2 linked regions of the Oryzias latipes genome follow. The protein of the gene in region 1 interacts with the protein of each later gene in a pairwise test. Links are inferred from orthologs where the notes say so. Each region holds a gene or a part of one and is shown on either strand. Other genes may lie near its edges.

Region 1 (15,451 bases):
CTGATCTATACAGAATCAGCAAACGGACTACCGTTCTTTCTTTTGCTCTGTCTAACAAATTTCATTACATGGTGATAACGAAAAGTAACCTTTTTGTTTTTTGAACAAAGCAGTTTGTCAGAGAAAATGTCAAACACCTGCAGTGCTGATCAATTTGTAATTGATTACTATAGTTGTGGACTAACTCAAGTGGAAATTGTGTAGATGTTGTTGGTCATAAACATCAACATGATCCAGCTATTTCAATAGAGCACGTCTCTCTGCATTAAAAGACCTCTCGTGTCTACAGATACACAGTAATCACCAATTAAAATCCAATTTTCAGTGTTCTCTTGCTAGAGAAATACATTGTCTCAATATCAGGCGAAAAAACTTGCTTTCCTGTGATCCTTTTTATTCTATTTTATTTTATTTGACTGTTATTTTACCGTGAAGTCCCATTAAGATCAAACTACTTTTTTAAGGGAGACCTGGGACAAAAGGCATCATCACACTAAAAACATACAGTTAAAACAATAAATTAGAAATTAAATACAGTTAATAACGAGAGACTAGAAACCATCACTATGAGGATACAGAAAAAGAAAAAAGATAGAAGTTACTATCATGAGAAAACTGACCAGTAAAACAGCTAAGTAGGCTATTTGCAGCTTCTGTAGATTTTTTCTATTTATTTATTTTTATTTTAACCTTTATTTAACCAGGATAAAAAAACTCATTGAGATTAAAAATCTCTTTTGCAAGAGCGTCCTGGCTAAGAGGCAGCAGCACAACAATGAGACACATTTCTCATTTACACTCACACTCAACCAGATCTAAATTCTGTTTGGTGACTTTTGTTTTCAATCATTCTTGGACTTCTGCAGGAAACAGAAAGAAACAGAACAGGTTCCTTTGGTTGGGGTAGGAGTTTCCCTTAAAGTCCCATGACTTTAATTAGCAGTAGAAAAACTAAACCTCACTTCTTATCTTGTTTTTTTCTTTTTGTGTTTAGAATTGATTATGAGATGATTTTTCTGACTATTTTTGAAGTTCCTATTTGGGAATTTGAGAGATGTTGGTTCTTAGTCCCTGTCCAGAGACAGATTGGGGCTTTTGGTGAAGGTTGAGTGGTTCATGGGTGTGCTGGGACTCCACAGGGGGCAGCCTCCTGTGCTGCGAAGCCTGTCCTGCTGCTTTCCACCGAGAATGCCTGAACATTGAGATGCCTCAAGGGAGCTGGTTCTGCAACGACTGCAAGGCGGGAAAGAAGCCGCGCATTAAGGACATCCTCTGGGTCAAATGGGGCCGTTACAGGTGAGGACCCCCGTCCCCCACCGTGTGCGCAGCCTCTGTGTGCAGCACCTGATGAGCCTGCGTTTCTGTCTGATCTGATCATTTAGGTGGTGGCCCGCTGAGGTGTGTCTGGCCAGAGACGTCCCGAACAACATCCTGAGGATGAAGCATGAGGTGGGGGAGTTCCCGGTCCAGTTCTTTGGCTCTAAAGATTTCGTGTGGACATACCAGGCCAGGGTGTTCCCCTACATGGAGGGGGACACTCACAATATCGAGAAAATGGGGAAAGGTGCAGACGCAATCTATAAAAAGGGTATGTTTTTTCCAAGTGTTTACCCATGAACTGCCTTCTGTGTAAGTTAGATTCAAATTTGAATGTCCACATTTGTCTCTAGCTCTAAGCGAGGCAGCAGAACGCTTCAAAGAGCTGCAGACAGAGCGAGAGATGAAGCAGCTCCAGGAGGACAGGAAGAACGACAAAAAACCGCCTCCATATCGACACATAAAGGTACGGTGTGAGCCGTCACTCATGACCGCGTTTGTCGTTTTGCCATCTGACCAAGGTTGGACAAATCCATTGGTGTTTTAGGTGAACAGGCCCATTGGGAAGGTGCAGATCATCACAGCAGACTTGTCTGAGGTCCCTCGTTGCAACTGCAAAGCCTCCGACGAGAACCCGTGCGGCGCGGACTCTGAATGCATCAACCGCATGCTGATGTACGAGTGCCATCCCCAGGTGTGCGCGGCAGGGGAACGGTGCCAGAACCAGGCTTTCACAAAGCGTCAGTACACAACTGTAGAGATCTATAGGACGCTGTCCTGTGGGTGGGGTTTGCGGGCTGTGTCCGACATCAAGAAGGTAAAAAAAAAAAAAAAACTGACGATTTTTAGGGGTATTTGTGTCTTTTTCTTTTTTGTTAAATGTGTGAGCATTCTCTGTTTCAACCACAGGGAGCATTTGTGAGTGAATACGTGGGGGAGGTTATAGATGAGGAAGAGTGTCGAGCCAGGATCAGGCACGCTCAGGAACACGACATCTGTAACTTCTACATGCTCACACTGGACAAGGTGAGCCACACCCCTGCAGACACAGGCCTCTTTCAGCAGAGATGGTGATTTGTGGGTTCTTCTCCTCAGGACCGGGTCATTGACGCTGGGCCCAAAGGGAACCAGGCCCGCTTCATGAACCACAGCTGCCAGCCGAACTGCGAGACGCAGAAGTGGACTGTGAATGGAGACACGCGGGTGGGGCTGTTTGCTCTGCAGGACATCGCCAAAGGTTTGACACAATCAGCTGTTTCCTTTCTCCTTTTTTTCTCCCTTTCAATGCATTTTGCACTTATTTGGGTTAAATCCAATGTTCTTCAGGAGAGGAGCTGACTTTCAACTACAATCTTGAGTGTCGGGGCAACGGCAAGACGGTCTGCAAATGCGGAGCGCCCAATTGTAGCGGCTTCCTGGGTGTTCGACCAAAAGTACACATCTACGCTGAAAACATCTTAGCTCACCTTCTTAAACCATAACTGATCATTTCATTCCTCGTCGTTCAGAACCAGCCCCCAGCGGAGAAGGTCAAACTAAAAGAAGGGAAGAGGAGAGTGGGCATGAAGAAGAAGACCAAGCAACAAGTGATGAAGGAGCGGGAGGACGAGTGCTTCAGCTGTGGCGACGGGGGTCAGATAGTGTCATGCAAGAAGCCGGGCTGTCCAAAGGTTTATCATGCCGACTGCCTCAACCTCGCCAAGAGGCCTGCAGGTCAGAACTTCCTGTGGTTTACCGTTGATCCACACGTTCTAAAGATCAGTCTGACTCAGGGAGGCTGAATTCAGAGTCCTGGACACTCCGCCTCAGCTGCATTTTCCTAAAAAAAATACTGACTTTTTAATAACAACAAACAATATTAACCTGCCACATTACTTTGTCACTTTTATACACTTTTTAGAGTGAATTCTCATGGAGGCTTGAATGTTTAGACAGAGATTTTGTGTTGTTTGCATAGTAAACCAGAAGAAAAGCTTAAGTCACTTGATAAAAGCATAACTAGTAATGCAGTTTAATGGCTCCTTCCCACCTGGACTGATTGGTTCAGACTTAATGTCCTGGAATAGTCCGTTTTTTGTGAGCAGATGGGAATGCTCACCTTCTCTGGTGCTGCCTTAGTTATCCATTGTAAGGACAGTACTGCCCCCAGGTGAGCAGCTTTTGTAAGTGCGTGATACACATGTCTAAAGCTGGGGTCCTTAACTCCCCGGTGGTAGAGGGCTAGGGTTGGGCGATGTCCCTTAAATTGGCAGTTGACGATTTTTGCAGTAAACCATCGGGATGGATGATGATATCATTGGGGGGGGGTATTTTTAATTGTTCTTTATTATATAATTATTTATTACTTCATTTATTTTATTTCCCAGCTAATGACTCATCCGCGATGATGCAGTATAAACTGAGGGAAGTGACTTTAACAAAAAATAATAATAATAACAAACAAAATAGAAAAGAAGTAGTCCGTTCCTGCACTTGATTAGTCAAGTGGACCGGTGGACCGAGCGACCGTGTCTCTGAGCAGAGCAGACGGACTTTGTGTTTGAGGGGAAGGGAGGATGCTTTGTTACCTGTCCGCTATGTGTGGGAGACTTCGGACTGCGATCCGTCCCGCAGCTCTAGGTGAACGAGCTACCGAACTCAGGAGAACCGGGTCTTCCGGTAAAAGTGTGTGTCCGGGCAGAGCTCGGACCGCCAGCACACACACAGGGGCTTTGTTTGGGGCGGTGTGTGAGCTTTTCAAAGCAGACATGTAGCTCAGTCCTTAGAAACCGTTCAAACAATCACCTGGATTTGTGTTTCCAGTCGTGTCCCGACTAAATAAAAGCTGATGTTATTCCCACATGTTTACGTTCAGCAAAGCTGCAGATTGCAGCATTTCCCGCATGGATTTTATGTTCATCAAAGGCTAAATGTTGTTAACCCGTGTTAGCCTCTCCTAGCACTGGCTTCTTCCAGCTCCGTTCTTCAACAGAAAAAGCACTGACCCTACGGATTTAAATTAAAATGATGAGCGAACAGGCACTTCATAATAACCATAACATTAATAAAAGCACGTTTAGAAGATCATTTAGGATATTAAGGAACTCATTTCCTCTTGCGGTATTTCAAACACTACTGTACATGTGCGAATGATTTATTCCGACCGAAAGTGTGACCCATGTGAACGATTGTTATAATCGGAAAAAACTTTTCTGGGCCCTTGTACACGGTTGAATTCTAATCCGACCATTGATCCGATAAAGATATTTTGCACATGTAACCGCGGCTTATGATGTCAGCGTGGCGGGGGCCTGATGTCAGTCAGCCAGCATCATCCATCGGCACAACCCTATCGAGGGCCACTGGTTTGTGGGTCAAATGGTACCAGGAAGCACAGAAAGAACACCTACATGACATTCTTTTTGTTTTAATTATTGCAACTGTTGTTCCCTCACATCAATGCAAGTTGCAACTGATTTAGATTTACTCTGTCCCGCAATGTTTTTGAAATTCTTCTTTCTTACTGCGCGTTTGAGCGACAATTTGACCCCCGCCACGCACTCAAAAACTCACCAACACACCTAGCATCCGATGAAAATGAATGTTTGAAATAGTGCTTTCATTTGAAGTGATTCCTCTGATTGCAACATAAATCTCGATTCCAGGGCGATGGGAGTGTCCCTGGCACCAGTGTGACCTTTGTGGAAAAGAGGCTGCTTCGTTCTGTGAGATGTGCCCAAGCTCTTACTGTAAGGAGCATCGAGAAGGAATGCTCTTCATCTCCAAGTTGGATGGAAAGTTGTCCTGCAGCGAACACGACCCATGTGGACCTGACCCACTTGAGCCAGGAGAGATACGGGAATACATGCCCAGCATGGCCTCTGTGAGGCCTGGCGCGGTGGCTGCACCGGTCCTAGATGCCAGAAGAGCATCATCCTCTTCTTCCTCCTCCTCCTCTTCTTCTCCCTATGTTCCCATCTCTTACCCTGACAGCCAAACAGCAGCATCCAAGCGAGAGCCTCCTCCTCGTCTCTACATCAACACCAAGACAGCTACCTCCAGCTTCATCCCCTCCAGCAGCTCCTACCTCGCAGACACGACGGAAGAAACCACGACCTCCTCGTCCGCCTCCTCCAAGGATGAGAGGGAGGACGGGGAGGTGGAGGAGGGGGAGGTCTGTGCGTTGGACATGCAAGAAGTGGAGGAAGATGAAGAGGACGAGGAGAACGACACAGAGATGTTGGAAGAGAAAGAGGAGGAACCCATTTATGGTGGAGATTTGGTGGAAGATGAGGAGGGGGAGGATGAGGATGACCCCTGGGGTAGCTGTTTTGATGATGACGGAGAGGTGGAAGAGGAGGATTTTGAATCTTGGGGTAAATTGGAAGATGAAAAGTAACTCTTTCTTTAGAAATCAGCAAGAATATTTAGTAGACTATGGCAGAAGAGATATTTTGGTACCTCCATGAAAGCTACACTGCCTTCACTTTGGTACAACATTGCCTTCTCATCTCCTCACTGCTGGACTGACAGCGGAGATGTGTACCGGTGCTTATCTCACTTAATCTTTTTTATATTTCTGCCAATATGTTTATGTGTCTGGTGCTGTTTTGTTCTGTTGTTTCACCTTTCACTGTTTACATTTCCTGCCTTTATTTTTTTATCTATATGTTTGGAATATAAATAAGAAGTGGGAAGTTTTCACTTGACCAAACTGTCATCAAAAGAGCATCTTATGCTGCCGTTTTTGTCTTAATGTCGTCTTTTCTTTATAGGGGTCATGGAAACGTGCTCTCCCACTGGTCCATGTTACACTTGGGGCACTGCAGTACAGTGTCTGTGAAAAGTGCAAAAATAAACCCACTGGAATTATTATGGGGCTCTGGATAATTCTTCTCATGACAGAAAATATTTTTATTAAACTGATGGATGTTTCTCCTCCCTGTTAAATGTAGAGTTTTTTTTGGGAAGTTCCACCATAAATAACACTAATAGTAACAGTTGTTTTATTGTATTTTTTAATTTAATTTTACTTAATTTGATCTGTGATTTTTGGGAAAATGTTATATTCCTCTCATTGCAAATCTTGTCTCTTTCAAAAGACCCAAGGGAGATGTAATATTTAAGGAAGATTTAGAATAATCAATAGGTCGTACACAGACTACTTTTACATTTGTTCCCATTTATGAACACGTTTTAAGTGCAGTATTTATTGATCTATTTATTATAACTATGAGATTAGAAACCACAAACAGCCACTGAACGATTTTGTCTGTTTTGAACAAATTCAGTTGGGTTATTTTCGTTAGTTCCATTATTATTGTTATAGCAAAAATTACAAATCCAATTATAAAAGAAAAATAACTACTGTCCAACAAACTCCAATCGGAAGTGAGTGACGGGATTCTTATTTTGCCATGGTTTTTATTTTGAAGGCATCTGGTGTCCACGTGATGTCGCTGTTTTCCGCTGTGACGCCTGACTTTCCGACGAAAGCGGATGTGACGTACCTGAAGATAGTTGGAGTAACATGGCGGTGGTTGCGTTTTAACCAAAACACAGCGCATTATTTTCAAAAGGCTAAAGTTTTCGAGCATATAATTAAAATAATTATTTTTAAAAAGACATAAGCGACATTCTTCATTTTTTCTTCTTCCAGTAACAAGGTAAGGTTATCTTGTAAATTCTGTCCACAATCAAATTGTTTTGCTAACATTTTTACATCTAAGCTAACGTTAACGTAGAAAATGCTCTCCTGTTTAAAACACATAAAACAACACAAAATTGATGAAAATGAAATGCTTAAGTACAGATATGTTAAATCCAGTTTCAGTCATGACGGAGCAGGCGAATACCAGTCCAGTCGAGGGCGTCGTGAACCTCGACGAACCCAAGAAGATGACCAGGGAGGACTGGAGGAAGAAGAAGGAGCTGGAGGAGCAGAGGAAGCTGGGAAATGCTCCAGCTGAGGTGGACGAGGAGGGAAAGTATGTAAACCTCGAGAAGATAGATGATGAAATAGGTCCAATACTGTCAACTCAAATACATGAACTCAATTTATTATTCATCCTTTTCTCTAGGGACATAAACCCTCACATTCCGCAATATATTTCATCAGTCCCATGGTACATCGATCCATCTAAAAGACCAACACTAAAACATCAGAGGCCACAGGATGAAAACCAGAAACAGTTCTCGGCCATTGGCGAGTGGTACAAGAGAGGAGTCCAGGAGGCAAGGATCCATAGAATCAATACTTTGATGTGGTGTTGACTCCTAAGAATGAAGACTGAACTTGTGATCTCATGCAGAATGTGGTCGTCACCAAATTCCGAAAGGGTGCTTGTGAAAACTGTGGTGCCATGACGCACAAGAAGAAAGACTGTTTGGAGGTAAAACATTTTGAAAAAAACATTTTCATACGCATGTAACACAAAGAGCTTTACATAGTACAAATATTTTTTAATTTAAAACCAAAAAACAAAGACTTTCACACACAATGTTAACTCACAATGCTAAAACACAATTATACCCCCATCATAATTAAAGACAGTCCAGTTAAAATTGTGTTTTTAACATGTTCTCTTTCCAACTTTTTTATATGATGGAGGACATATTGAGGGAATTAAGCTTGCAATTGCATTTCTGAGTATTTCTTTACACAAATTTTGGTAAAGCAGGAGAAGACAAAAAAATGCAATTGCAGGGCAGGCATGTATTTTCTGCACCATCTCTGCTGTATTTTCAAGTAATACACTGTGTTAAAAACAACGATAAAGTTTAAGTTTCACTCGTATTTCATCAGCGACCCAGGAAAGTTGGTGCAAAGTTCACAGGAACAGACATTGCTCCAGATGAACACAGTCAGGTTCAGCTGCAGTTGGATTATGATGGAAAGCGTGATCGCTGGAACGGGTATGACCCCGAGGAGCATCAGCGCATTGTTGAAGAGTACGCAAAAGTCGATCTGGTAAGTGGATATACGTTTCCCAAAAATGTAGGTGTGGAAAGTATTCAAGCTGATGCTGCTGTGTTTTCCCCCCTATTCATTTAGCTGCCGTTATTCACTAAAATGTAACCTAAACATCATTAGTTTAGCATGAAATTCAAAATATGGCTGAAGCAGTTCATGTTTTGCTGAACACGTATGTTCTGCTTTGCTCCTGAAACCCCAATTCTTTTATTTCTCAGGCTAAAAGGACTCTGAAGGCGCATAAACTTCAAGATGAGTTGGCCTCAGGGAAATTGGACCAAAATGTAGGTATAAGTGTCCACAAAGATTGTTCTGATATAATATTTCCAATGACCTTTTGAGTTGCTGCGTCTTCTGTGAGCAGGAATGGGAACACGACAGCGAGGACGAGGATGAAGACAAATATGCAGACGACATCGACATGCCCGGTCAGAACTTTGACTCCAAGAGACGAATCACCGTCAGGAATCTGCGTATCAGAGAAGACACAGCTAAAGTAAGAAACAGATGAACAAAAAAGCCAAATATTTTAGTCTTTTTTTAAACATTGGTTTGAGATGGGTTGCATATATTTAGTTTGGTGGCAGATATTTTGAAAGTTTTTCTGTGCTCTTCCACAACCACAGCCTCAGTTGAACTGACAGGATAACCTAAATATATTAGTTTCTATAGAGTTCAATCTAAAACCAAAAATTATCAGATTTTTTGTAAACAAGTATCTAAAAGCAACAAAAAATGAGAATTATCTGCACTTCTGTTGCTACACACGGCTCCTTTTTTTGTACACTGCTCCATCGATGTAGCAAAGACGTATTTCTTCTTTGAATTTTATCCTTAACTTTTATCCTTTACTGCTGTTTTAAGATAAATTTAAGTTAACAGTTGGCGTGCTGCTATGTCACATACCTAAATAATTTTCTTCAATAAATTAAAAAACAAACAAACTATGATGATTAAGCTTGATTAGGCCTTATAACATTGATATTAAAAAATGACCTTTTTGTAAGAGTAAATAATAATAAAATTATTTAGATCTTCAATATATTTTACATAAAATCTCTAATTAAATTTAGCAAATAAAAACTGTGTTTGACTGTAATTTCCTAGACTGTAAAAACCCTGAAGTTCTTACATCTTTTCTTCTTCAGTACCTGAGAAATTTGGATCCAAATTCAGCGTACTACGATCCAAAAACCCGAGCCATGAGAGAGAACCCGTACTCCAACACTGGCATGAACCCTGATGAGTGAGTTACTATTATCTTTCAAAAGGCAGTGTTAGTTTTTCCGGGATCTTCTGCAATGACTGACCCCCTGCGTGTTGCAGAGTTGGGTACGCTGGAGACAACTTTGCTCGCTACTCTGGAGCTACAATAAGCATGGCTCAAACCCAGCGTGAGTCAACACTGTTTTTCCATTTCTTTACAATGTCAAAATCGTCGAGCTTTGATTAAATGGAAGCTGATGGGCTCTTGTGTTGCACATATGTTATTGATTCATATCAAAAGAAATGTACGGTTCTCTGTAGGCGTGTGTCTGTGTGCGACAGCTTGTTTTCATTGTGGTTTTCCTGTCAGTGTTTGCCTGGGAGGCCTATGAGAGAGGCTCCGAGGTCCATCTTCAGGCTGACCCCACCAAGCTGGAGCTGCTCCACCGCTCCTTTAGAGTGAAGAAGGAGGACTTCAAAGAGGAACAGAGGGAGAGCATCCTGGAGAAGGTGCCCAGTTCACCCCACCATGACAATCTTTAGCCGCACAAAAGTTTGACATTTGAAAATGTGGCCCCACTCAATTATTCACTGAATTAGTAGTTTATGTTTAGACTTTGAAAATAGTTTTGTTTTTATCTGGGCCACCCTTCAGTCTGTAACCTAAATATGATTCCATTTATTATTTACTGTATAAATCTGTTCCCATTTGTGTGTGCGGCTCTCAGTATGGAGGACAAGAGCACTTGGACGCACCCCCCCGGGAGTTGTTGTTGGCCCAAACTGAGGACTATGTGGAATATTCTCGTCACGGCGCCGTTCTGAAAGGCCTTGAAAAGGCCGTCGCCCGCTCCAAGTATGAGGAAGACGTCCTCATCAACAACCACACCGTAGGAAAAACAGGACAATCGTTTTTGTGGGAAATGTTCCTGTTACTTTTCTCATGATCACATTGATGCTCCTTTTTCTCTTGGGTAGTGTATTTGGGGCTCCTACTGGAAAGATGGCTTTTGGGGATACAAGTGTTGCCACTCGATGATCAAACAGAGCTACTGCACTGGAGATACTGGATTCAAAACAGTAAGTGCACGGCTGCCCTCACACATGCCCTCTCAGACTTGACGTTCTTCAGTTTACTCAGATGTTTGGTTCTTTTATCAACCTGCAGAACAATTCAGACTGTGTTCCGTTTGAAGACGGGCCGATTGAAAATCAAGAGGAGGAACAGCCCAAGACTCTCCTGGAAGTAAGTGACCACGAGCATGTGAAGAGACAGCTATTTAGAAAAGAAGTTTAAACGTTTGTCTTCATTCTAAAGATGCATCAAGACAAAATGAAAGAGAAGAAGAAGAAAAAGAAGAACAAAAAGAACAAGAAGCGGGCCTCAGACAGCAGCGACTCAGAGGATGAAGAAAAAAAGAAGGAGAAGTTGAAGAAGGTGCAGTACAACGGGTTTTTTTGGTGTCATTTATTGTCATTTTTTTTGGATGGCTAAGCTTCCACGTCATACTTTCATCCAGGCTCTGGACGCAGAGGACAAGCGAGTGAAGCAGGTCGATGCAATCATGCAGCTGGATGAGAGGAAGAGGCCCTACAACAGCCTGTATGAAGTTAAGGCGCCCACCGAGGAAGAGATGGAAGCCTTCCGCATGAAGCGCATACGACCAGACGATCCCATGGCGTCCTTCCTGGATCCCTGATCCACCACCAAATCCAGAAAGACTCAGAATAAACAAGTCAGATGAAAACAGCAACAATCCTGCACTGGAAGTGCTGAAAGAATGCATATTTTTGTCCTCTGAAATGAATTTTCACACCTTTGTAGGACGTTTAGCCTTTGAAAAAACATCTTGTCTTTGTTCCATACCTTTATGCTGATGTGCAGAACATGTCTGTCGCTTTCAACATGAGGTCTGCTTTTTACATTAAACAACATTTTTGTGTAAAAATACATCTTTTTTACTATTTTTATTGGAAAAAAATAAATTTCTTAATCCAAAGTAACCCAGTTCAAGTAGATGCAACTAACGTTAACTATTTGTGCTTTTTGTTCAAATTTTTGTTATTTTTCTCTCTAATTTAAAAAAAATGACAATGTAAAAACATGCAGGGGTTTTTGTACAATTTGTACAATGAGCTTAAACTTTTTACACAAAATAAGTACATCAGGAGATCTCAATAAGAAATAGTAAACAGAATAAAATAATTGAACAGGAGAAAATATTACTCATCACACAGAAGCACACAGTTCCACTGTACTGTATGGTACGCGTTGGGAGTATTATAAAAATGATCAAATTTAATAATAAATCCCTAAAAATGTGAAGAAATCACTATTACTCTGCATATTATGTATAAAAAAATTTGGTTTGAAGAAAGTAATAACAGCATTTTTTATATTTTTACCATCAAAACCTTAATAGGTAATCCAGTTTTTGATTTATGACACTAATATATAGTTTTGCTTTATTATGACTTATTTATTACGATATTTATCATATTTCATCATAGAGTTTGCATTTGAGAAACCATGGCTTAATATCCAACTGAATTACAAAAAAACATGTTCAGCTTTTTATTAGTTTCCATTGATAATTTTTAAAGAATCTAATGAAGAAATACTGAATTAAAAAGTGTGTCCAAATCTTTGAATGGTTATGTAAATACAAACATATGTTTTTCTAATATCAGCAGAATGCTGTATGTTTTCCAGGTGAACCTCACTGAGCTAAAACATTCTCCTTACTGAGTTAGAATGCATTGGCTCTGCAGTTTTCAGTTGTTTAATAAATATAAACAAGAATTTTTGAAGTTACATTTTGTAGACTGATGCAGTGTCTACAGTGTTAGTGTGTACTAGTCTGTCATTTCTGCTAAAGTTTCTCGTGTTCTCACTGCAGTACAGTTGGCCTGGCTATATGACATCATAGTGAAAGTATTTTTGGCCCATCATCTCCTCCAAACACAGGGCGGATGTTTTGCAGCATTAAGAGCTCCTCCAAAGATTTGAAGAAAAACAATGTTCGCTTTGCTGCTGAAGAGTCATGCAAAGACGTTGGTGAGCTTTCATGGAGATCTAGGTTGTGGAAATAGGATAGAAAACCCCAAGAGGCTTTGATTTCCCAACTGGTGAGTTGTGTTTTTATCTTTGTAGAGCTGCAGATTGATGCCATTAGTAAAAAACGCAGCAGAGATCTTTCCTTTTCTTTAAATTAATGACTCGCATTTCTTTCAAAACATTGTTTAGAATACCAAAACTGAATGTGCCACTTAGGTAATGCAAAGATTGGAGGATCTTTATCCTTCTATGCATGCATTTTGTCAATACTCTCTTAAACATGTCCAGGCGAATCCATTTTCATCTAAAACTTTTTCATGTAGGACTGTGGAGCCACATTTGCCCCCTCTTTATTGCTCCATTCTCCCGTTTGTGTCTTTCCAGCGCTCAGCATGCTCCACTTTTGTTTCATGATGTGTTTCCTGTCAGTCGTAAACGGTCAGTCGCCAAATCCTTTGTCCAAGAGGGATCGTCCCCTCACTGTTCATCCGTCCCAGTTGGTCTGCAGTCTGCCAGGTCCTCCTGGGCCTGCAGGAAATCCAGGAGCACCTGGACAACCAGGGTCTGTGGGGCTGATGGGACCACCGGGAAAGGACGGGCCGGATGGAAGTGATGGAGAGAAAGGAGAAAGGGGGGCCAGAGGTACTCACTGCAACCATAATTGTTTTTGCTCATGAGAAGTTAAGTAACTAATTGAATTTGTGTCATTGGGTCAAAATGATTTACCCATCACTTAAATTAATTGACCTGAAACTGTCAAATGATTATTCTGGAGGATCACTTTACCACAACACTAAAGCTATGAGTTTCCTTAGCAAAATGGAGTCTATTCAAGTTTACAAGTCTACTTGGTCTTTACTGAAAGTGAGAATACTTGAAGTTTACTTTTTATATTACATCTACAGTATATATTGTGAACCTAAAATATTTCTTCCAACTACAATTTAGTTGGAAGAAGAATTCAGATAGTATAATTCCTACACTTATCCTCATATTTACTTAATAAATGAAAATTCAAGTGTACTACTTTTTACTTAGGGTTACTGAAGCCCAAAGCACTGTGCTGAGGGGTCACAAACATTTCTCTTTTGGTGGTCTCCTTGAACTATTCTTGTTCTGGTGGTCCGATGTTCTGGTTCCATCCTTTTACCGTGCAGCCTCACTCAATCCAGTGTCACTCAGCAGAACTTTATATTTCCAGTGAAGCTCATGGGTTTTGTGAAATCCACTATCTCCTATCTCCAAACTATGACATTTATTGCTTTATTTTATGAAGACGATTATATAATACTGCAAATTTTAATGTAAAACCCTTCTCTTACAAGAATTTGTACTTTCTGCTGCACAGCAGACATGGGTTAACCCTGACACACAACTTCTGAAACTTCTTGAAGATGTCTTTCATTTGAAGCATGTTCAAAACACTTACTAACCTAAAACAAAAAAAACCAGCTTGATCAGGAACGGTCTTTTTTCCCCCATCATGTCCCACTTTTGTTAGGACGTCTTTCTTTTCATAGTTCTCGTTTTGACTTTCCTCTCTTGTCTTGACTTCCTCTGTTCGTCCTCGAGGGATTTTTAGAATCCTTGCAGATGTTGAGTTTAGCCCACTGGCTGCTCTTTGATGTCCTTTAACAGCTTTAACAGCTTTGTGGGAATCAATGAGCTTCTTTCCCACATCTTTAGAGAATAATGGGCTTAACACATTTGAAGCCAAGTCCTCTTTTTCTGGACTAATGATGTCAAAACTAGTTACAGAGTGTTTCTAATGTGCAGTTAGGATACAGTGTTCTTTTCTCTTAATCAGGGGATCCCGGGAGATCTGGCAATCCTGGAAAGCCAGGTGTGAAAGGTCGCGATGGAGTTATTGGCAAAGCAGGACCTCGAGGACTTAAGGGGTTGCGTGGACCACCAGGTGTGTCTGGCAAACCCGGACAGAAAGGGGAGCTGGGTGACACAGGCCAGCCAGGAGCTCCAGGTGGCTGTAGCTGTGGCCGCACAGCCCGATCCGCCTTCTCTGTTGCCGTGACAAAGAGTTATCCAAAAGAACGGATACCAATACGATTTAACCGCATCTTGCTGAATGAGGGGAATCACTACAATGCCAGCAGTGGGAAGTTTGTCTGTGCAATCCCTGGGGTCTACTTCTTTAGCTATGATATCACACTGGCTAACAAACACCTGGCCATTGGGCTGGTTCACAACGGGCAGTACAAGATCAGGACATTTGACGGCAACACAGGAAACCATGATGTGGCGTCTGGTTCCACCGTTCTTCACCTAAAGCGTTCTGACGAGGTTTGGCTGCAGATCTTCTACTCTGAGCAGAATGGACTCTTTTTTGACCCTTTTTGGACCGACAGCACCTTTACTGGCTTTCTTATTAACCCTGAACATCAGTTTGTCAGTGAGGCAGATAGAAAATCACACACTGAACAAAACAGTTGATACTGTGATGCTCATTTATTTTGCCTCAACTGTTGAATTCTCGTTTGTATAGGAAACTCTTAATGCTTTTTCTTATTCAGACACCAGGGGGCGCAGAAGGAAGAAAAAAATTAAAACATGACATATTTCCTTGAGATTGGAGTGACATTTGAAACTTTCAAAGTAAAACATTTATTTTATTAATTTACTAACATCTTTCACCTGTTTAGATGTCTACGTGATAGTATTTTTGTGTATGTTACATGGTTATCATAGAGAATGAACTCAGTAGCCGGGGAATCTAACATCTAACAAAATCCACTGATGCACTGGGGGCAGGTTTATTCAGGACGTTTTCCTTTAAATCGGAACTGATATCAGCACACTCTTTCTGTGTGATATACCACTAGCTCCAAATATTGTACTGAAGATTACTGTGAATTCCAGCTGAACTGTATAAAATTGTATTGTTGCTCAACGTTTTTTTATTT
Region 2 (15,225 bases), on another chromosome or scaffold:
CTGCGCCACCTCCTCCACCTCGCCGGGCCGACCGAGGGCGTGGGTCTCCTTACAGCGAGCCAGAAACTGCAGGAGAGAGGTCGATTCCAGATTCTGGGTTGATGATTGAGCAGGAAGTTCTCCTCCGGGTCATTTTTACCTTGGCGTACTGCTCGTCGTCCAGTCCCGCCCGCTTGTGGACCTCCGTGACGATCACACCAGGGCTGAAAAACACGAGCACGCCGTCCGAGGCATCAGCAAGCGCCTGCGTTTACGTCCAGCTGATTCCAGAGACTTCTATACGTACCAGACAGAGTTCACCCTCACCTGCTTGGGCGCCAGCTCTAAAGATAGAAAAGAGGGTTTCACAGCGTTCTTGGTGCCTCAAACAGGAAAACACTCAACTCACCCAACGCTATGCAGCGCGTGAACTGATCGATGGCGGATTTAGACATGCAGTAGGCCAGCACACCAGGAAACTGAGCAGACGACGACAGTCAGACTCTGCAGAGAACGGAGCAGCTGATGGCGATGGAGGATACTCACAGACCGCTGTCCGTTCACACTGGACACGTTGACGATGGAGCCTTTGGTCTGTACCAGATGCGGCACGCACAGCTGAGTCAGGTGGTAAACAGATCTGAGAACACAGACCTGAGACTTGATATGACGTAACTGCTAAAGTCGTTTTTTTGTTCTAAAGCTACGTTCACATCGCCACTGCTGGTCAGGCGACCACTTCAGATGAAAAGTAGTGAAATCGCGAGTTCTGGCTTCCACGTTCAAAACTCTTCAGCTCGTCAGTAGGAATTTTAGTGAGGTGTACATGGAAGGGGTAAAAGCCTAAACGGGTTTGCGTAAAAAAACAACTCGTAAAAAAGATCATCTGCTCCAAAATCCTGTGTTTGTGCATCAGAACAAGTTATTTCCATTAAAGTCCAGTTCCGAATGCATCAAAGCTTCACATCTCCAATACTTTAGACGTTTTTTTATATTCTGATGATGAAAATGCATCAATATTTGTATTCCAAAGTTGATTATCATTCATTTATTTCTTTCATTTATTTAGTTTATCATCTTACTGAAAACTGAGGACCAAAACGATGGAAAAGTACCTTTAAGGTCTGCCAAATATGATAGATGAGGAAAAATATCGTAATTTTCTTGAATCGTTTAAACGATTTGGTGATTTTTTTATGCAGACATCTCCATGTCTTCACAAACCATACATCAAAGAAACATGCTGCATGCGGGTTTTGTCACTCTTTCACCCCCTTCTTTGCCTTCTGGTTGCTCCTTTTTCCCTGCATCCTCCTCACACCAACCACCCTCCTCTCCCTCCATGAACCTCCTCCCTCAGCATCTTCTCGCCCACATCCCGGCTGTCCCTCCTCTCAGTGTGTCCAGACCACCTCCATCTGCATATGTCTCCAGAACATCGGCTCCTCTGATGGATTCAGTCCCGAACTTCCATCATCTTCCTCTCTCCTAGCTCCAGCTCTGCCTCCGGTCTGCTTCTCAGAATAAAACCAACCGAAACCATGAACCTTTATCATCATGTTCTGCCGAACAGAAGACAGCAAATCTAAGCGGAGGCTAAAGAAGTTTGTTAGGATTTCTACAAACCAAGAGCCAAGAGGAAAAGCTCAGCAACAGTGTGCTGACACGGTGAGCTTTCCTGAAAGCTGCGCTGGCAAGAGACAGTGATGCTGAACTGAGCGCGCTCACAGAGGCTGACAGCTTTCAGCTCGGCTGCAGGCGCATTTCTGCCCGTAGCTCCTGTGTGATGAGCAGCCCTGATTTAATTAGAGCCTGTTCCACGTGTTCCCATCTCTGCAGAGCAGCGGGCCGCGCCAACGCCCACCTTAGCGGACAGATTACAGTTTCAACAGTTTGCATCGCCACAAGGTGAAGTGAGGTGTAGTGTCGCAGGGGGTGTAGTGGCAGATCTTTGGGAACGAGTTCAGCTGGAGGAAACCACCCAATGCCCCAAATCCCACAAATACTGTAAAATCTCAAAGGATAAAGGCCCGTACACACCGGGACGAATATTCGCCAGGCGTTATTCGCCAGCGTTTTTCGCCACGTTTTTTGTGTTCACACCCAGGCGATTTTCGCTGACGATGAGTGGAGTGAACATGCAATTTCATTCCCTGACATTAGATGGCGCTTAATGTAAAACAGAAATACTCCTGTACACAAGGTGGCGCTGCGCAACTTTACGCTTCTTAAAGTCGCTTTTCACTCAGAAGAAGAGAGCAAGTATTTACACGCTTGTCAGAATCAAACAAAGAAAACATGAATATTTCAAGCACCAGTAGCTCCAACTGGTGCTTGGTTCGGGGATGTTTTAGAATGTCCGTCATTATTGCTTCGCGGCTGTGTAGACGCTACTTGGCGTCTATCTTCTTCGCTGGTATGTGTGCTCAGCAAGGCAGTTTTGTGTTTGAGCGCCCCCAAGTTGTGTTTTACTGTAACTTCAGAAGCTCCAGACACGTGAGCAAAAGCGCCATTCTCATTGGTCGAGTAGATTTCGACGCGACGCGTCGAAAAAAAAAAACGAACCCGAGGCGTTTTTTTTTCTGACGCTTTGTCGCGTGGCGTTTTTTCGCGTCGGTGTGCACACTCTCATTGGGGCCCTTTGTTTAGTCACGAGGCGTTAAACGTCGTTAATTCGTCCCGGTGTGAACGGGCCTTAACAGGGGTGGGTTTTTAGAAGTCCACTTCTATGCCGGGCGGGTCTCAAGCTCCGCCCCTTTCTGATGCACCCACCTGCAGTCCAATTGATCCATGAACGTCTTTGTTTTCCTGGTCTGAGCTGGAATCTGGATCTGAACGACACGCCTGGATAGATCCATCGCTAATGTGAGGTTGGGGGTGTGAGGGGCTGTACGCCAGCACGAGGACACGTAAACAGATGGATGATGGGAAGTGGGGTTAGGGTCGCTTAGCACCAACAGGACCACAACTAATAGGTGAATTTCTAATGAACTCCAGCCGCTCTGCAGAGACTTTGTCTAAAAAAGCGTCATCCTACTGAAAAAAGATCAAAAGAATGATCAGAGTGGGACTTTAAGATTCAGTTTTGGCACCGTGGTCTTCTAAAAAAAAGTGGACGGACTCCTTTTCCTGCGAGAGCCATCATTCCCCGACATCCTGGACTGTGCTGGGCACGGCGCCGTGTCCATCCTCCGTCTTCTGAATCCTACCTGACGTTGACGTCCATGACCTTGTCATACTGAGCCAGGTCTGACGTCTCGATGCTGCCCATGGCCAGGATGCCGGCGCTGTTCACCAGCACGTCCAGCCGGCCAAAGTGAGCCAGAGTTTGCTCCACGGTCTTCCTCACCGTCTCCTCGTCGGTCAGGTCTCCGGGAACCAGCAGCGGCTGCGCAGAAAGGGAGCCGTCATTACGATTTTAAACAAAATGCACATCATTTCAGTCCAACTCAAACGACAGGAAGCACCAAAGCACACTTCACTCCACATTTCTGATTTGTTTTTTGTTTTTTTTATGAGGCTGGCGCAGGCAGGACCTCCTTACAATCCACAGTTTGAAGCAAAACACAAACATCTCAAATGATATTTTGGATAAAAATCCCAAGATGACTCCTAATTATATTAATAATAATAATTAATTAATTACATAATTGATACTTTATTGATCCCACAATGGGGAAATTCTTCTCCGCATTTGACCCATCCCCTGGGGGAGCGGTGAGCTGCAGCCTAACTGCGCTCGGGAGGCAGTAGCGTTAAGGGCCTTGCCTAAGGGCCCTCACTGGGTGATGTTCAATGCTCACCATTGATATGATAATTGACCCATTATCCATGATATTTGATGAGATGAATTCAAACTGTTGAAAAAAGATGTCTTCAGGATCTCGTTATCTGCTTCTTGATGGAACCATCAGTCTGTAAGGTGATCAGGTTGAAGCCTCTCTGGATTATTAACGGGGTTCAGCAGGGCTGTTTACTGGCACCACTGTCGTTCTGTCTTTAGGATTTACCTCCATAGGACACACGTTACACATACGATGCTTTATTGGTTATTTTTTTTTCAGCATCAAAACAACTAAAAAATAAAAAAAGAAAACCTATATGGTAAAAGTGAATATCGTTTTCTGGTTCGATTGGTGGATAAATAAAGGATTAAGTGTACATTTGATTTTGAAGGTTTTTTTCTACTTGGGTTTTCTTGAAATGAAAGATAAAATAACAGAAAACAAGAACCGAAAGCCTTGACATAACCAAAGAGTCATGGAGGAGTTCATCATAAAATAGTGTTCATTATTTTATAGCAGTAAAGGGGGCGTGTCCCCACCTCTGCGCCGCCGCACTGCAGCGTGCATTTCTGGGCTACTTTGGTGAGGTTTTCCACGTCACGGCCGTTAAGCGCCAACAGGGCTCCCAGCTGAGCGAACAGGACGCTGGTGCCGGCCCCTATCCCCGAGCTGGCCCCCGTGATCAGGGCCACTTTACCCTTCAGGGAGGAAACCTAAACAGAACAAACTACAAACATGACGTTTATGCACAAACTAGAGAGGTAGTGTCCTGACTGGAAGACACGTAATCCTAAAATGTTCACGCGAGAGGCGATCGAGAGGCGACTTACTTGAAAAGCGTCGCTCGTTGCCATTTCGGCGAAAATCGATTCAGCAAAAACAGGCTGCGTCCCCTGTTGATGACGTCATCCCACGCGACAAACACTTGCTTGTAGTTTAGCGTTACTTATTAGAATTCTACCTCCAACTAAATAAAAATAGGCTATAGAAAAAAACCTTAACACCAATAAATAAATACATAGAAAAAAAACACAACTTAATTTTATATTTTTGTCACAGAAAACAAATTTACCAAAAGATACAAAAGTGGTATAAAACTTTATTTGGTACAAAAAAAAACGGTCAGAAGTCTAGAGCATTTGCTAAACAAACACAATGGTTTATTTGCCTTCAGTAAAGACATTATTATTTTTTCCTGCGTTTTTTAATCTTCACAGATTTTCACTGAAGCACAAAGTAACGCACAACAGTTATCCAGCAAAAGGGTTGGCGTGAATGGTCACATCTTTGATCCGGGTGTCGGTTATCGGCCGGAATGTCTTCTCGTTCACAGGCAGCTTCTCTAGTTCATCCAATGTTTCCAAGCCGTCAATGATCCTAGAGGCAGAGCAAACCAGAAGTTAAACAACACGACAAAACACAAGGGCTGAGGTGAAAATCTAAGTACTGAAAGCAGCACGGACTGGTTAGATGTCAGACTATATTTTCCCGGACTGGACTGTACGAGGTTAAAGTGGGCGTCCACTTCTTCTTTTTCACTTTACAGCTTACCTTAATTTGAGGGTATAGCTTATCTTCATCCTCTGTAAAATTAGATCTAAAACTAGATTTCCTGTCGGAAGTGCAAACATGAAATCCATTAACCCATAACTGTCAAAGAGGAAGCTAAAAAGAATTCAGCCTTGTCCAACTTTTAAGATGTGACGGATAAATAAAAAAACACGTCATTAAACTGGTATTTTCTAAAAAATAAGAATAAACATGAATTCACTGTTTGAGGAACTTTATTAGCAACATCCTGATCTCATCGGACAGAGAGTTGCTGAATATTCTGCGTTATTATGGTCTGTGGGAACAAGTGTCACAGGAAATCTGGATTTTTGTCTGTCAAGTAAAGCTCTTTTATTTTGAAGTTCTGTTTCCCCACTGACTTTTCTTCCAGAAGAAACTTTCCAAACACGTTTGTTTTTAGGTAACTTTGCTGGCTTGGAGGTTTTCAAGTTAGTGGTTGGCGCAGCTGCTTTAGGAAAGTAACGGATGGATTTTTATCGAAAGCGACTAGACGTGTCAAGAATGATTATTGCAACCCTGCAATAATCTGATCACTGTGGTGCAAGTCCCGTACTTTCCAAAGATGGTGTACTTCATGTCCAGGTGGGGCTGTTTGGCATATGTGAAGAAGAACTGTGAGCCGTTGGTGTTGGGGCCACTGTTTGCCATGGAGACCACCCCTCTGACGTTATGCTAAAGTCAAAGAGCACAAAGCAAACAGACGAGCAGTTGATTCACAGCAGCACATAGTTTGTAAGCAGACTGACTGATACTTACTTTTAGGTGTTCACTGAATTCGTCTTCAAATTTGCGACCCCAAATGCTCGTCCCGCCTTTGCCAGTACCTTTAGTAATGTAAATATTCAAAGAGGCATCAGTGTAGTGATCAGAGGTGGGCACTATCAAGTTATAATAACCCAGATAACTGTGTAAAAATATACTTTAAAACTAGCTTTACTTCTACACTTTTATTTAGCAACTCCAGGCCTCTAATTCACCAGTAAAAACACCAGTGAAAACACAATTGTTTCCAGATATCCTTAAATAAATACTAGAAATACTATAACGATTGTGATTCCTTTTATTTTATTTTTTGCTTGATTTGATGCTTTTTTTGTGTGTTCTGCAGTTTGAAAACACGAGTTGTGAGACGGGGCTTTAAAAAAACTAAACGGAAAAGCTTTAGACAATGAATAAAACTCATTTCAAATTACTCAATACCTGCGTTTTTTTAATATTTATAAGGTAATTTATTCGATGCCTCTTTGATTCCAGATGAGTACTATTATTTTGAAACAATTGTGGAACTAATTCTGACATTTCCGGTGGTTATCAAAATAAAATCAGAATGAATAAATAATCCAAACCAGTTGGGTCTCCAGTCTGAACCATGAAGCCTTTAATGTTCCGATGGAAGACGCAGCCATTGTAGAAACCACTAGCGCACAGCGCCAGAAAGTTCTGAAAACATTGTCAAGATAGGAGTTATAAATAAAGTTTTGTTGCGGTCTAAACAAAACATAGAGACGACTCTTATAAACTCACTTCGCATGCTTTGGGAGTGCGCTCACAGAATAACTCTATTTTCAGGTCTCCCAGGTCTGTGTGAAACGTTACCGCCTGCAAAAACGAACAAAAATAATAAAGAGATGAAGGATTTTAAACGTTGACTTGAAGGCTTCGGATTTCCCCGTTAGCGACAAAAACGTAAAGCTACAACAGTTACCGGAATTAAACAACTAAAATACAACATTAGTGATAAATAACCGAGTAGCTGAACTTTTTCTAAAAATGAGCACAGAGATGAAACATTTCGTAAATCCAGAATTGATTCCTACCATCTCAAATGCTCAAAAAGAGTACCGGTGCATCTCAGAAATGTGTCCGACAAGACCGACTCAGTGGAAACCAAAGGTTCCGCATAACAACCACAGTTTTACCGTCTTAAAAAAAATATTTAAATCTCTATATATTACAGTAACAAACGTAACTTTAAAAGAATGTATAATGAAAAAGGATTGCACTGATGGACGATAAATTTAAAAAAGGATGAACAGCATCCATACAAGATTATTACCTGTGACTTAGAAATTAAAAAAAATTCTAAGCTCGGGATAGAGGAAAAACAAGTTTTGTTCTTATAATTGTCATTATTAATCAATGGATTCTTATCAGTTATCTTTTTCATGTCAAAATAGTAAAATTAACTATGTCAACTTGCACAATGTATGTTTTTAACATAAAATAGCTTGAAAATATAACCTCTTGTTAAGAGAGACAGTTAAACACAGACAGTTAATATAATTTTTTTTGGTCATTTCAAGTCTCTCGAGTGACTATTGGAGTGTAATAAAAAAAATTACATAATTTGTCACTCCTGCCTTCAGATAATCAACAGAAATAAAATAGATTTCAAACAGTTAGAAAGCTCACAGTGTTGCATGGTCTGTAGTTTTTCTTTATTTTGGTGAAAAGTAACACTGAACTGAACTAAATGCAGCTTTTGCATTTGTGACAATTAAAGAAACATGACCTGTAACTTTGTACCCAAAGATGCTTAAAAAACCCATTAAAAGAAAACATCCCGTCATGCAAACACAAAACATCCATGTACTTGAATTGTGCTACTCACAAGGACAGAACTATGATGGAGAAAAGTCAAAACCACAGGAAACAAGTAGTTTCTGAATAAATGCAAACACAAATGCATAGAAGTGTTTCAAATGATGCTGTAAAAACAACAACAAATAAAGTGAATACTTGGTCGTTTCCTGAGAAATTGAGTGGTATTTTAATACGTGCAGTTTTCTTCAAATACACAATCCCTTACATAAGGAAGACATGGTGCAGACAAAGCATTGAACAAACTCATCAAATATGTAATTCCTTTCAAACCCCTTCAATGCAAGACTTTCACAGATAATAAATGATTGTCTTGTTTAATGACCTCTTACTTCCATATCATGAGAACAGTTTAAAGTGCAGCTTTTCATTTCCTGCATACACTGTAAAGTACATCATTAGGCGTCTTAATGTGACGGGTGGGACGGTGCAATCGCATCCTGCAGAACCTCTGATGGAAATCTTAAGCAACTAGACTGCAATTTGGCAAAAAAAAATCCAAATTAAGACAAAATCTACAAATACAGTACAGCAGTTAGACATGTTAGAGAAAAAGACGTTTATTATACTAACATGTAATGCCGCTGCAAAGGTTACAAAGAAACAAACATGGTTTTTTTTCTGCTGACCCACAATCTTGATTGGGGGTTTTTTCACACAAAAGCTAGAAGTAAAACTTTAGCTTTAAGTCAAATGTTAAACCTTTACTATAAAACAACATCTCTGCTACAAATACATGTTTTCTTTTTTTCTTCAGACTTTAGAAATGATAAAAACAAAACACAAACACACACGAATACTGATCCCTTCGTCTGCTAGAAGTGTATCACATACTTTTAACACACACTCACACAAAACACTGTTTTGTCTGTAAATTGTGACGCTGCAGTAAAAAGAAAAATTAAAAAGAAAAAGAAAAAGTTACAAATAAAGGTGACGCAATGAAAAAAGTTTGCTTTATTTGACTTGGCTGTGTAACTTTAATAAAGCTAAATTATGGTCACTTGATAAAATGAGGAGCATCAAGAAACGTGAGAAAACATCCTTAGTCTCCCAACTGTCTGCAGAAAGAAGACGAACGTCTCAACTATCCGAGGAAAACAGACATTTTCTTTAGTTAAAGACTTCCCAGCTCTAATAAAGGAACAAAGAATACAAACATTAAGGCAAAAATAATGTGATAAATAAGTGGTTAAATAATGATAATAATGTAACTTAAATACAACTTTTTTTCTTTTTTTTACAGTTTCTTTCACAAATATAAGATTGATCAGTTTATATTGGCAGAGTGGTAAACAATATTCATGTCACACAATTACTCCCGACAAGCAAACTTCTCTGATGAAGACGTCATGTAACCCCCCCTCTGGAGATAAAACGACTCAGTTCAAACAAATACAAAAAATATTTAAAATAACGTCTCAATATGGTAAAAAGTCACCAATGGCAATTGGTTAAATAAAATAGTAGCTTTTTTTTTGGACTTCAGCCTAAGTCGACATTTTTCCAGGTACATCGATCCATCTTCTCAGTCAAACTTGGTCACCTTCTAATTTAGAATAATAAACAATCATTTCATGAATTATCATCCCTCTAAAATACAAAGACTGATTTTTTACTTCATTCTATAAAACTGGACTTGATTTTCTACATCGGTCTAAATTTTGGAGCTTAAATGAGAGAGAAGCGTGAAAATGTTCCTGTTTGTTGGAGAAAAGTGCAGAGAGTGTATAGTGAGGAGTTCTACAGCATTAGAACATCTATAATCCTTGATTTTACCCATCGCGGGTAAAAATGTGGGAACGCCATCTTGGAATTCCTTAATCCGACCCCAACGGCACTGCTACGTTATTGGAGAAGAAGATAATCACGGGCCTGTTGAGAGACGCCTCAGGAAACTGTTCATAAAGATAAAACTAACCACAGCGACCACAGACAGAATTCCTGCAGAGGGACACAGTCGGCCTCATGGACAGCACGACTGACGCCAACGTCAGACTTCCTTTGGGACGGAGCAGACAGTACTTCCTGCGTCAACACAGAGTTATCAGCGCTCCAATGTCACTGGCGGAGCTTTTCAAACCTGTTCCTTATCGGCTTTCCACAAAAGTTCCTTAACTTCAGAGGGCAGGGTGTTGAAAAGGTCCTCCTCCACCACGAGGCCGGTCCGCTTGAGCTGTCGGCACTCGCCCAGCTCCACGGGGAGACACTCCAGACGGTTTCCTCTCAGCTCCAGCTGCGTCAGTGCGGTCAGCTCTCCGAAGCGGGACGGTAGAGACTGGAGGCAATTGTTTCCCAAGTTCAGGGTGCGAAGCTTCTTGCACTGGAAGAGCTCGTTTGGCAGACTCTCAATCTTTAAGGTTGGGGTGGAAAAAAAAAAAAAAAAGAACGACACATGCAAGTATTAGTTTTTTAAAAGACACCATGAATTGTTTAGCCCGCAAACCCCCCGCCCCCTCCCTTTCACTTTCTTTCAAAATGGCAGCTCTTCTGTTGGCTTTATCTCCATAGATATCAATCGGGTGGGACCAAAACTTCGTTCTTACTGGTACTAGATGCATGCAAAGTTTAGGGAGCTTTGGAGTATGTGCCACTCCAAGGTGCAGTAAGAAAGAAGACAGAATAATCGACCTGAACCACTCGAGGGTCGGGAAGCCGGGTTCAGACACTCACCCTGTTAGCCGTCACTGCCAGGTAATGAAGATTCTGCAGGAAGCCGATGTCTGCTGGGATGGATGTCAAGTTGTTGTGGCTCAAGTCTAAGATGCGCAGCTTGCGGCAATAGAACAGCTGGCTGGGGATCTTCTCAATCTTGTTTCTGTTGAGGTACAGTTTCTCCAGGTTGTTCAGGGTTCCGATCTGGATGGGGATGTAAGCGATCTGGTTGTACCAGAGCTTCAGGCAGACCAGACGATGGAGGTGCTGGAAGCTGATAATCTCCTCGATGGTCTTCAGGTTGTTGTCCTTCAAATCGATTTCCTGCAGGTTGTGCAAACTGAAGATGGAGTGCGGGATTCGCTCCAGATCACAGCGAATGAGCTCTAGTTCTGTGAGATTGACCATCTTCTTCAGACTATTCAGGACCATCAGCTTGGTTCCTTCGTTGTTGATGGAGAGCTTTTGGAGATGCATGCCCACATCGGTCACCACTTGAGGTAGCTTGGTTAGATTGCTTTTCAGACGAAGAACCTTGAGCCTCTTGAGCTCCCGGAGGCCGTCGATGACTATGTAACGGTTGTTCTCGGCGCTGAGGTTCCCCGTCAGATGAAGCTCACTGAGATTCTTTAAGCTGTAGATCCATAAAGGGATTTCTTTTATATCTGTGAACTTGATATGCAAAGACTTCAAGTTTTCACGCAGAAAAGCCAGAGCGGGGGCTTCGATTTTAGCCGGGGTGTGATAAAGCCACATCTCTCGCAGGTTTACCAGCTGGGCAATGATGGGTGGGATGGTGACATCTGGAATCAGCTCCAGCTTGAGAACCTCCAGCTCCATCAGATCAAACACGGTGTCGGGGATGCCACTCAACATGAAGAGGTGCAGTTCTAACTTCTCCTGGGAGTTCTTGGTGATCCTCTGCCGGAGCTTATCCAGAGTCCACTCGTTGTTGAGGTTGAGCTGCCTCAGCTTGTTCTCACTGACTTCTGAAAGGAAGACGGCGAAGCGCTTGGAGTAGAGAGGGTCATACTGATCGATCATGTGCAGCATGAATGCAAAGTCGTTCTTGACGTCTGGTATGTCGCTGTAGCTGCTCTCTTCACGGATGGATTCGAAGGAGTACTTCTTCAGAGAGCGACGCAGCATCCAGCAGAGGGTGTACATGCAGATCAGACCATAAACCACCACCAGGCTTATGTAGAAACAGGCTAGGATTTTAAAAAGAGTAGCTAACGGGTGAGCACAGCGGTAAACACTGTAGCCAGTCAGGCTCTCTATATTAACGGCGCAGTCCACGCTGAATTTGATGTCATGCACGTAATACCCCGTGTAGCAGATAATCAAAATAAACTTGATCACTTTGATGATGGTCTGGCGGATGTACAGTCGGTACACGATATCTCCTTCCTCCACGTGAATGCGGAACTTCTTCACCTTTTCGAAAAGGGCTTTCGCTTGCTCGCCTTCTTTTTTGTCTAAAACTCCCGTTTCTGTGCGATCGACGATGCCCTGCTCGAACAGCGTCTTTGTCCTCTGGAGCATCGGGACGCTCGCCTCCACATCTTCACTTATGACGGATTCTTTGTGGTCCACCGAGCCGTTCATTTTCATGGGTTTGGGGTCGCTTTCCTCGACCACCGTCTCTGACAGAGCCCTGGTTGTCCACGGAGAGTCAAAGCATTTCAGCAAGATGGACACAAAGTGCTCCAGTTTGGAGCTAGTCCGTGGAAACTTGAACCAAAAGTTGCTGCAAGCGAGAAAAATCAGGGTGTGGAGTAATACTAAGTAAGGAAAGTACTTGGCAAACCAGTGCAGTCTGTTTTCGTAGCACACAGCATCAACGTAGTTGTACTGGTGCCGGTCCAGATCATACTGGATCCCTTTGGGTTCCTTGAAAAAGGTCGAGGACAGAATAGAGCTAAAGTTTTTCTTGCAGGTTTCATTGACGACCCATTTGCAAGGCAGGCAGATCATTTTGTCCTGTGTGATCTGCAGCGTTCCTCCAAACACGGAAATCATCAGCATGACGATAGAAATGTAGTCCGTGAACACATCCCACCATGGTTTCAGGATGCGGTATGCTGGCTGTGTATCCACAAAGTACCGCAATTCAGTGATGGGGATCATGGCTTATCTGTAGTGGAAAAAAAATAAAGAAATATTATGGACAGATTGTTTGAATTTTGAAACACTAGTACATGACATTTCTCTCTTTTTTTATTTGAAGACAATGTGGGGTCAGGTGTCTTTCTTAAGGACAAAATGACTGTGTGGCCTGGGATTTGAACCCCAGACCAGCGAAGTGACACATTCCCATGACAAAAAAACCAAAAACAAAAACACAAACAGGAAATCCCTTTTTTTCCCATAACACGTGAACCAGATAGATTCAACGGGTCAAGGAAGGCAACGAACAACAAAATAAAAGGGAATCTGCAACATCATTTAAAAGAAAACTTTAAACTTTTCATTAATTTCTGCCTCAAGCTGAAAGCAATTTTAAAAACAGAATTTATATATGGCTTAAAAGTTACTTATTTAATATTTAAGCAGTTTTATACCATGTTCCAGGTCAATACGCGATTCTGATTGGCTGCAGGGTGTCAGATAATTAAGGGTTATTGGCCGATGAAATGTCCATAATTTTAAATTAATGGACGACACTGAGGTTCAAAGTCCATCTATAAAGTCTGTTAATTTCTGATAATGGACACTTCGAAGGCCATTTTCCCGCGCATGCCATGGTCACATCCAAAAGAAATAAAAATTAAATCAATTGTTAGTACTTTATTCCAGTTATTTTTCCGGTTTAAATAGCTTTTTAACAAAAAATTGACTATTTGTTGTGCGTTGTCATGGTATCAGCTGAGCGGGCATCGACCTCGACTGCGGCGGCAAAGGACAGCGTCATATTTGCTGGTCATGACGATGGGGTCAGTTCAGACAAAGTTCACCTCTTTGTCCAGATGATGAAGATGAAGTTTGTTTTGAAGAAGCCAGAGGAGAACATACACATACAGAACATTTACGCTATGTGACTGGAACTTATTTTTTTAGGTGTGCATGATCACTTTTTAATTCACGCCCAGCAGCCAATCAGAACCCAGCATTCACACGGACACATGGTATAACACAGTGGTTCTCAAACCTTTTCTCTTGTCCCCCCCTTTAGAAGAGGAAAAATGTTCATTTTTGCCAGACAGCCAACATCATTTAATGTTTGCAAATTTTCAAAAAAGTATAACTTACTGGGTTTAGAATTAAAAATTGTTTTAACTTGCGTGTTTGATGTGTGAAGTGTTACATGCACTTGCTCCTCCTTCTTTGTCTGACGAAGGGATAACACCATCCATTAGTCTTATTTTGATCAATTATTTTACTATAGTTGATTCTAAAAATGTTAAATAACTCAGAAAGTCTTTAAAACGGGAGTTATATGTTGTTATTTTTTTAATATCTAAAGAAAGAAAATTAACTCAAAATTAATTTAGAAAAATAGCTGAACACAAGACACGAATGAAATTAAAGCAAAATGGATATCGAGAAGTTTCCATACTCACAAGTCCAAAGCAGAACCATGCGATTCATCCTTTAGCTCAGTTGTTGTGCGAGTCAAATGCAGCACTTCAAACCAAGCTCTTGCTTTGTGCGCCTGCACCCCACCCAAACCGTCCGCTGGAGAAGCCCCTCTTCTAAAGATGATGTTCCGTTTTGGCTGGTTTCACCCAAACAACACAAGCGCAGAAGGAGCCACCTTGCTCCCCTGCTCTCTATTCTTAGCTATTTCCGTTAATAATACTCAGGGTATTGTCTGTGGGGGCCTTGAAAAACACCTCCCTCGACCTTCAGGAGGAGATCCTGTTTACCATACAGATGCTTCTGTCTCCAACCAGTGTCTCTCTGGAATAGTCTGTCGGCAACTTTTGACGACACACTACACACAATAAGGAATTCGGGTTTGGCATTTAGTACAGCTGGCACTTTGTTGGGAAACTGTAAAGTAAATGTGCTGCTCCACCACCAAACAGGAAGGTGATGAACAGTCTTCAGACACACCTACCAACATTTGTAGCGTTGATTTTTTTGGGATGATGATGTAGCGGCGCCAGGACCAGCAAGCATGGGTGTTATCTCCGCCTCAGCTCCTGATGAAGGCCCCAGCTGACCTTCCACTGTCTGTGCATCCAGTGCACTTCATGAAGGATGCCTGTTATCATGCTTGAGCAGCACAGCAGGAGACCTGAAATGGCACGAGGATGACATTGATCCTCCTGTGTTTTTTCCACTCAATATCATAAAAACATGCGGTGGGAAAGTTGACGTGATGAATTATTCACTTAAATGCAAACACTTAGGATGACAGGCTGTAAAACTACCTGATTTATATCGTTTTAATGAGTTTCTCATATTATTTTGGTGCACATGTAGCACGTCAAAAGAAAAACGAGCGACTTTTAAACTAAAAAGTTTAAAAAACACACACACAGATACGTGCCTTAAGGTATCTGGAATTAGCAGAAAAACACCCGCGCCTTTTTCTAAACACAACGCAAGTAAAAGTAGTTAAAATAATGTAAAAAGATTTTAGCAAAATAAGCTATCCTCTCACCAGAGATAATAAAGCTAACTC

The links.
Region 2: the proteins of slu7 (region 1) and ppil3 interact in binary tests that used the Homo sapiens proteins (3 or more experiments, as listed by UniProt). The link is inferred for Oryzias latipes from reciprocal best matches to the Homo sapiens genes SLU7 and PPIL3.

The regions. Positions count from the first base shown.
Region 1 is NC_019868.2:17,432,335-17,447,785, reverse strand, and holds slu7 (pre-mRNA-splicing factor SLU7), read left to right. Parts: upstream 1-6,798; 5' UTR 6,799-6,962; intron 6,963-7,123; 5' UTR 7,124-7,131; coding exon 7,132-7,283; intron 7,284-7,376; coding exon 7,377-7,530; intron 7,531-7,607; coding exon 7,608-7,688; intron 7,689-8,101; coding exon 8,102-8,266; intron 8,267-8,487; coding exon 8,488-8,553; intron 8,554-8,633; coding exon 8,634-8,765; intron 8,766-9,417; coding exon 9,418-9,515; intron 9,516-9,595; coding exon 9,596-9,663; intron 9,664-9,845; coding exon 9,846-9,985; intron 9,986-10,203; coding exon 10,204-10,365; intron 10,366-10,453; coding exon 10,454-10,555; intron 10,556-10,643; coding exon 10,644-10,721; intron 10,722-10,793; coding exon 10,794-10,913; intron 10,914-10,995; coding exon 10,996-11,175; 3' UTR 11,176-11,426; downstream 11,427-15,451. Other genes in the region: histone-lysine N-methyltransferase, H3 lysine-36 and H4 lysine-20 specific, read left to right, coding at 1,140-1,296, 1,383-1,588, 1,671-1,783, 1,865-2,134, 2,227-2,343, 2,413-2,554, 2,644-2,750, 2,826-3,030 and 1 more; c1qtnf2 (complement C1q tumor necrosis factor-related protein 2), read left to right, coding at 12,926-13,175, 14,341-14,981. UniProt on the Homo sapiens protein: Required for pre-mRNA splicing as component of the spliceosome. Participates in the second catalytic step of pre-mRNA splicing, when the free hydroxyl group of exon I attacks the 3'-splice site to generate spliced mRNA and the excised lariat intron.
Region 2 is NC_019867.2:2,412,154-2,427,378, forward strand, and holds ppil3 (peptidyl-prolyl cis-trans isomerase-like 3), read right to left. Parts: upstream 7,137-15,225; 5' UTR 7,069-7,136; coding exon 7,042-7,068; intron 6,936-7,041; coding exon 6,861-6,935; intron 6,777-6,860; coding exon 6,683-6,776; intron 6,161-6,682; coding exon 6,093-6,160; intron 6,009-6,092; coding exon 5,890-6,008; intron 5,142-5,889; coding exon 5,015-5,141; 3' UTR 4,844-5,014; downstream 1-4,843. Other genes in the region: uncharacterized protein LOC101161976, read right to left, coding at 1-66, 140-203, 287-323, 389-458, 526-619, 3,189-3,367, 4,304-4,477, 4,595-4,618; volume-regulated anion channel subunit LRRC8A, read right to left, coding at 10,015-10,290, 10,611-12,722. UniProt on the Homo sapiens protein: PPIases accelerate the folding of proteins. It catalyzes the cis-trans isomerization of proline imidic peptide bonds in oligopeptides. May be involved in pre-mRNA splicing.